2 linked regions of the Cricetulus griseus genome follow. The protein of the gene in region 2 binds, or shares a complex with, the protein of the main gene of each other region. Links are inferred from orthologs where the notes say so. Each region holds a gene or a part of one and is shown on either strand. Other genes may lie near its edges.

The links.
Region 1: the proteins of Pth1r (region 2) and Pth are in contact, whole or in part, in a cryo-EM structure (PDB 9JR3), measured with the Homo sapiens proteins. The link is inferred for Cricetulus griseus from reciprocal best matches to the Homo sapiens genes PTH1R and PTH. Residues at the interface, in NP_000307.1 of Homo sapiens: Val31, Met32, Thr33, Lys34, Glu35, Gln37, Ile38, Leu41, Glu111, Trp112, Asp113, His114, Ile115, Ile135, Tyr136, Asp137, Phe138, Arg146, Arg162, Thr163, Ala165, Tyr167, Val171, Leu174, Thr175, Glu177, Glu180, Arg181, Phe184, Leu187; in NP_000306.1 of Homo sapiens: Ser32, Val33, Ser34, Glu35, Ile36, Gln37, Leu38, Met39, His40, Asn41, Leu42, Gly43, Lys44, His45, Leu46, Asn47, Glu50, Arg51, Val52, Glu53, Trp54, Leu55, Arg56, Lys58, Leu59, Asp61, Val62, His63, Asn64, Phe65.

The regions. Positions count from the first base shown.
Region 1 is NC_048596.1:87,293,180-87,297,093, reverse strand, and holds the start of Pth (parathyroid hormone), read right to left. Parts: upstream 2,488-3,914; coding exon 2,401-2,487; intron 1,879-2,400; coding exon 1,878-1,878; intron 232-1,877; coding exon 141-231; intron 29-140; coding exon 1-28. UniProt on the Homo sapiens protein: Parathyroid hormone elevates calcium level by dissolving the salts in bone and preventing their renal excretion. Acts by binding to its receptor, PTH1R, activating G protein-coupled receptor signaling.
Region 2 is NC_048597.1:218,233,730-218,237,643, forward strand, and holds the start of Pth1r (parathyroid hormone/parathyroid hormone-related peptide receptor), read right to left. Parts: upstream 2,699-3,914; coding exon 2,624-2,698; intron 2,454-2,623; exon of another isoform or gene 2,224-2,453; intron 1-2,223.

The sequences.
Region 1 (3,914 bases), on a different chromosome or scaffold from region 2:
AAGTTGTATTTCACTGACAGCTCTCTTCCTAGAAAGAGCAGAAAGAAAGAGCCATTAGTTCCCCATGTCCCCGTCCTAAAACCCTACTACAAAACCTCAGGTCCACATCTTCCCAGTGCAGAGTGGGCTGAAGCACTTACTTAATAGGTTTCCCATCTGTTTGGGTAAGAAGACAAAGTGCCAGCATGATGATCGTTACTTTAGCCATGGCTTTTGCAGACATCATCTTTACTGAAAGGAGAAACAACATTGAGATGGTTTAAAATACCGTCAGTGTGCTAAAGTCCTAGTAGTTGTTCTTTATAACCACCTAAGCAATCAGCAGTTAGCTGACATCACACTGATCAATTGAGCTGTTTTTCCTGAGTCTTTGGAATAAGCCTCTTCATATGATGGATACATTAGTAATATAACATGCACACATAACTTAGGGAAATTGGATACATGATTTTCTTAGGTAGCTTTCTGAATTTCTTGTTCAAATTTTAATATGAAATTTAAAACACATGATGAATAAAGAGCATTTTTATGATTTCTTCCTATTATTTATGTTGGCTATGCCTAAGTGGTTTTGTTTTGTTTTGTTTTGTTTGGTTTTTCGAGACAGGGTTTTTCTGTGTAGCTTTGGAGCCTATCCTGGCACTTGCTCTGGAGACCAGGCTGGCCTTGAACTCACAGAGATCTGCCTACCTCTGCCTCCCAAGTGCTGGGATTAAAAGCGTGCACCACCAACGCCTGGCCTAAGTGTTTATAATAGGCCTGAAATTCATTAATCTACTAATTAGGTAAATTATCACTATTTAGTGATCAGACACTGTTTTCATAATCAAGATTATGAAAATTATTTTCAGATGCTATCATAATAACCATAAATTTGTAGAGTTTTATTTTTACTTTTGAGATAAAATCTTGCTATGTAGCTCAGGCTAGCCTTCAAATTATGATCTTCCTGCTTGGTCTCTGGCACATTAGGGTTTCAGGCATTCACCATCATGTCTAACTATAAGGTTTAATTTTGATATCTTTATTGTGTTAATAATGTACATACTTCTCACAATGAAAAAAAAACATGTGTCATGCTCAATTAGTAAAGTTCTTGCTGTACAAGCATGAACCTGAGTTCAGACCCAGCACCCATATAAAATTTTTGGGTACAGCAGCACTGTACCTGGAACCTTAGCATTGGGAAAGTCTTAAAAAAAATAGGTGGAAAATGATAGAGGAAGATATCCAACATTGGCCTCTGGCCTTCACATGCACATACATATTCACACCTGTGTGATTACACACGCGTGCGCACACGCACACACACACACACACACACACACACACACACACACACACACACACAGAAAGTATGTGTCAAGGCATTTAAAAACCAATTAATTTCTTACATATTGTTCTTGGAGCTTTGACCCTTAATAAAATGACTGTCTGCATCTTATAGCTTCAACTTAGCAGTTATGGTTTAGTATAACTTCTAGTTCTAAAGTAGCATAAGAGACCTTACAGTCTGCAACATTTCTCCTCCCTGTGCACTGCACAGCTATCAGTGGAATAATAAAGGAAAATCGGGGCTCAGTCACAAGCACTGTAGCTGGTGAACAGGAGCATGGGTGTCTGGTCACATCAGTTCAGGCGACCTAGTGATATCTCTGCTTCATTTCTTGTTCTTTTGAGGAAGATGGACTTCTTATATAGGGATGCCATGAAAAGAGCTTAAATCACCATAAAGCATCCTTAAATGTCTACACAAAGATTAGAAAATGCTGTTCTTTGTGTAAAAGGAATGACTATTCAACAGTGAAAAGAATGCAACCTTAGTAAAAGGCTAAGCTCCTTAGAATCCATGAAATTTAAAATATAGATACGTATACCCTACAGGAAAATAATATACTCCACATGGTAAATTATTGTTGACTTTTTACATCAGAATTATTGTCTCTCCACCAGCCGGTTTTTTATTCCAAATTTTTGAATCATAATAAGGAGATCACTAAAGAGTATCATCAATTTTCTGTACTTTCAGGTGGTTTAAAAAAAAAGGTATTCAAAGAAGTTTTCATCATAAAAATATAGGATTCATGACTTTCTTACCATAAAAAATATATTTTATTGCTACATTTTATATTTAGCAAAATTAACCTCCCCTTAACATTTTACAATGGAAAATAACATAATATTGGTAGAAAATGGTATGCATTAAAACCTTGTTCAATTATCAAAATCTCACAGAATCTGGAAGGCCAATTGAGAGACTCCTTACCATACAAAGACTTCAGAGAGGATCCTTTAGGAGTGCCACCAACTGGTGCTGTATTAAGCTGGAGAGAATGAGACAGCGGATGAACTGGACTGCAGCTCCTCAGATCTGCATTTCTTATGTAGGCTTTTGCTCACCAAGAGGAGCATTTTATTGTTAAATATGATGTCACTCCCAGTTCTTTGGATCTCAACCATAGGACCAGAGCAGCCACATACCCTCATTGGGCGGTGCCTACTCCTCTAAAGTTTCAGATAATTAGATAATAGAAGATAAAGAGCAAGGTGCTGAATAAAGAACCTACAAAGGGAGTTGCTGCAAATACCGATCACACCACCTAGAAAATTCTGACATAATTGATGATATTGAATATATATATATATATTAAATGTTTGAGACAGAGTCTCATGAATGTAATCCTGGCTGGCCTGAAATACCTTGCCTCTGCTTCATGAGTACTGGGATTAAAGACATTTGCCACCAGGCCTTTCAAATATTTATGATAAAGTTATTCCAGTATTTAAAAATACAGCCTAAACTGTATTTGTTATTTGTTATAGCACATTATAAATAAATACACTTATTTCCTTAAGAAATCATATAGCATGCTTTTTACAAGCCATTTCCAACCAATTCATATCATCTTTGATCAGCTTTCCAAAAATATTTTTATGTATATTTGATATATATATAAGGGAGATGAATTGATGGTTCATTGAACAAGTACAAGTGGGAGGACCTGAGTTCAGTTCTCAGAACCCATAGAAAAGCCAGCCACTGGTAGTGTAGGTACTAAGATCAATAATTAATAAATGGGACTCCAGGAAACTGAAAAGCTTCTGCAAGGCAAAGGACACCACCAATAGGACAAAAGAGCAGCCTACAGAATAGGAAAAGATTTTTATTACTCTGTGTGTGATAGAGGGCTAATATCCAAAATATATAAAGAACTCAAGAAACTAAACATCAATAAACAAAATAATCCAATTAAATGGGGTACGTATCTAAACAGAATTCTCAATAGAGAAATCTCAAATGGCTGAGAAACACGTAAAGAAATGTTTCAACACCCTTAGCCATAAGAAAATGCAAATCAAAACTACTTTGAGATTCTATTTTACACCTGTCAGAAACACAAGTGACAGCATATGCTGGTGAGGATGTGGTGCAAGGATATCACTCCTCCCCTGCTGGTGGGAGTGCAAACTTATAAAGCCACTTTGGAAATCAATATAGCAGTTTCTCAGAAAATTGGGAATTGATCTATCACAAGACCCAGCTATACCACTCTTGGGCATATGCCCAAAAGATGTTCTGTCCTACTACAAAGACACTTGTTCAACTATGTTCATAACACTGTTATTCATAGTAGCCGGAAACTGGAAACCCAGATGTTCTTCAACCAAAGAATGGATAAATAAAATGTGATACATATACACAATGGAGTATTAAATAGCTGTTTAAAATGTGGCATCATGAAATTTTCAGGTAAATGAATGGAACCAGAAAAAAATCATTCTGAGTAAGGTGACCAAGACCCAGAAAGAAAAACATGGTATGCACTCATTTGTAAGTGGATATTAGCTGTAAAATAAATGATAATTATGCTGTAATCCATAGACCTAGAAAGGCTAAATGATAAGGAGGGCTC
Region 2 (3,914 bases):
CTCCAGCAAGCACTTGTAAACACGCACACACACGCACGCACGCACGCACACGCGCGCGCGCGCGCGCGCACACACACTCTAAATGTTAAAAAATTCTGAGCTGCCCCCCTGGGCTGGTTGGAAGAGGTTGCCTGCACAACCTGCCCAAGAGACTACAGTTCTCTGTGGAGCCCTCCTATCCAAGGGTCATACCCCACACCCAGGCCTGCTTCCCTGCTGACCGTCACATTCATGTGAGCTGAGGGTTCTCTAGGGTGTTCTTAGGGTAAGAAATCGCAAAGGATAAGAGCCTCCTTTTGCCTGTTCATCTGCTGTGAGCCTATCCCCTCCTTTAAACTTCACTCCTTCAATGCTCATCTCTGGTCTACTCTTCTTTGTGGGGCACAGATGAACCAGCCCAGTCCAGCTGTGGTCATTGTTCTCCCAGTGGGACGCTCTTTGGGACCTCAACCAAGGTCACCAGAGAAGTGAGCCTGGCTTGGATCTAGCTGAGTAGGTAAGTCTGTAGGTTTGGTGACAGCTGAGGTGGATGGGCTTTGTCCACACCTGTACACATCTGGACACAGAAGCAGCTCCCAGGCTTAGAGGAGAGAATGGGCAGGCTGCCAGGTGTTTGCTGACTCCAGCTAAGCCCAGGGATCCCACAGAGTGGTGGGTGGGTGGGTTGGCCAAACCTGTCCCCTGGACTACACCCCTTAGACCTGAAGCAGGAGATGGTCCAGTGCACTGATATGTCCCAGCAAGGACCCTGCAGAGCCACACAGGCATCTGCCCTTCTGCTTTCAGTTAGAGCTTTGAGGAGTTCTAGGGGCTCTGTACCGCCACACACAGTGAGGCACAGGGCCTGGAACCTGGTTAACATAAGATAGATAATGCTCACAGGGGACTGGATGAGTTAATAAAAAATAGGGAAAATACCTTTCTCAGAGGGTGGCTGGTAGGATTAAACTAGCTGATCTGCGCAAAGTGTATAGAACAATGGACTGGCAAACAAAAAACACAAAAGCATTTGTTGAGTACAAGTAAAGAAAGGCCTGTGTGCACACACTCACACTCATATATGCGCACGCGTACATACGCAAACAACTGTGCTTTTGCCCTCAGAGTCCTGTGCAGATCCACAGTTCCAGGCACATATGGACTTGAATACCCACAATCCCACAGACCGACCCAGATGCCCACAAAGCCCTACTCGGATGGCCATACAGGCACACACTCAGGACACCTTATCCATCAGCCAGTCTACACCATGCACACGTATGTGTACACACACAGAAGTCACCAAGGGAAATTCAGCAAACAGCTCTGCTGCCCGTGCTTGGAGCATCTTCCGGAACAGCAAAGCTGGGCCCTCTGAACTTGTTTCCCTGTGTACAAGTTCCTTTCTGGGGTAGTCTTTGGTTTTGGAAATCCATTACTGGACTAGAATTGGGAGGGTATGGGCCCTGATAATAGAGTGCCGGGGACCACAGAAGGAGAACATCAAATACAAGGATGTTAGGAAACGTCTCTCATGCTCTCTTCACAGATGGGCAACTGAGGTGTGGGGAAAGGCAGTCCAAGGTCACTAAGCTGTAGGCTGAGCTGGAGGGGTCCCAGAGCTCTTGTGTCCTCGGATTCAAGGCTCTGTTCTGTGGAGGAAGCTGCTTGCCCTGTCTTTCTAGAGCTGGATCAGGGTTGGGGTAAGGGGGCAACAAGACCTTAAAGTCAGGCACAAAAGCTGATTCAGGAATGGGCTGGATACTTTGGTAGGACTGCTGCGAATATGAGAGGATGGAAAATCTCCCCTCTCAGAGAAATGGCTCCCAGACCCTAGCCCAAGACGGGTCATGATCTCCCTCAGTGTCTCCAGCCCTCATCTATTTGTCTTTGCTGTTCTGAGTCTGTCCCTGCTGGAGTCGAGAGCTCTCATCCTTACCCTTTGTCTGTCTCTCTCTAGCCCTCTTTTCTATCTCTTGGTCTCCATTCCGAGGCCATGCACAGTATCCCCAAAGATCAGCCCACTCTCCAGCACGTATCTCACAGGTGTACTGGGGGGGAGGTCTTTCAGGGGACTTCCATACCACACCACACCCACCTCCCTGGGCAAACGACTTCTACTTGGGGTAAAGCTGTCCCATTAGCGCATAATCTGTCTATTTGTGGGATCCCCAGAGTTGGAGGGGGTTCTAAACCCTATCCTCAGTCTATGTGATTTTTCTGACTTCTTGCACACAGCTTTGAGCACGGGGTGCAAACAAAACTTGCGAAAGCAGAGGCCCCCAACGCAGTCTGTGGGACTCCACACCCAGAGCCCTCTGGATCACACTGTCACCATCGAAAGAGATACATACGACCAGAGCCGTGTGCTCACAGAAGCACGGCGTAGGGAAACTCCAACCACAGATTTCCAGACCCAGGACCCCAAGCCAAGTCTTCAGAAGCGGGGAAACTTCAGACATCTGGAACCTACGGTAAGACACCCCAACGAGAGCAGGCACCAGGATTCCTGGTTCAGAGCAGGGGCAGCATCCCAAAGTTCAGACTATTAGGAGAACCCACGACTTTGCGCCTACACTCTCCCCAGGGATCCCAGAGCAACTCCAGGATTCCTGTGTTTGAGTGTAGACCGAGAGGGACTTACCAGCGCATATGCGGAGCTGAGCACTGGGCAGCAGAGCAGGAGCGCCAGGCCGGGTGCGATCCGGGCGGCCCCCATCGCCACCGCCTAGGGCCGCGTCCCTCGGGGCAGCCGCCGCCGGCCCTGGTGATGGTTGGAAGGTGCAGAGCTGTGTCAGGCCGGGCCGCCCCGCCCACACCCCGTCCTAGGGGACCCCGGCGTCCGGGCGGCCCGAGGCCCCGGAGCCCGGTGCGGGGCCCATACGCCGAGGGCGAGCGAGAGAACCAACCGGCGCAATGGAGAGAGGGAGGGCGGAGGGAGGGAGGCAGCCTAAGGCCGGGCGGGCGGCGGGCGGGCGCCGAGCGCTGCTGAGCGGCCTGTCTGCCTCGGAGCGGAGAAATCACATCCATATGGCTGGGCCCCCCGCCCCCGGCCCGCCCCCCGCTCCCCTCCCGCGCCGCCTTTTCTTTCTTTCTCTCTGTCTTTTTCCCCCCTCTTTTGGGGAACTGGGAGCCGTGGCTTCGCTCCACGCCCAGTGGGAGGGGCGGGGGAGGGGTCGGGGTCGCGGTCTGCGGGGGGCGACCAGGCTGTTATTTTTAGCTCCGCGGCAGTGGGCAACAGGGGAGCTGGGGCGGGGCGGGGCAGGGGGCGCGTTCTGAGTTGCGCGGGGCGTGCAACTCCGGGATGCCATCCCGACTTTTGCAACGGCGCTGAGCCCTTCGGTGTTCCTGTCCCCAGCTCGGGGCTCCCCGGCGGCACTGCGGCCCGGCTCCCCAGCCCGGTCTGGACCCCCCCAGGCCCTGGGCAGGCACCTCCTGCCTGCGCCCCAAGTCCCGTCCTCCGAACCCGCGCCGCGTGCGCCCGAGCGGCACGAGCGCTTGCTCTGCGGCCCCGACGTGGGGGCAGCCTGTCTGCTTGTCCGTCCGTCTCTGGCTAGCGCCCCCCGCCCCCGACACCCCCCTCCTCCCCGGCCTTGGCCTCTGCCGTTCCAGCCGCCCCAAGCTCGGTTTCGGTCACTCCCTCGCTTCCCCCTCCCCTCCTCTACGAAAACATTTGCGAGTTTCCAAAAAAGCCACCGACTGAGCGGCCGCGGGCTCCGAGGAGGCGCCGCAGACTGACACCGAGACCGAGCGGCCGGGCCGGGCCCGCCCTGGCCGGGCCCCGAGTCCCTGCGGCCCGTCCGGCGCCCCCACGCGCCCGACCCCCCCAAACCCCGACTTACTCGGAGCACGCCGCCGCGGCCCCCCGCCTGGCCATGAATGTCGGGGCCCCCCGACAGCCCCCAAGCCAGCGCCCGCGCCCCGGGGGGACTTCA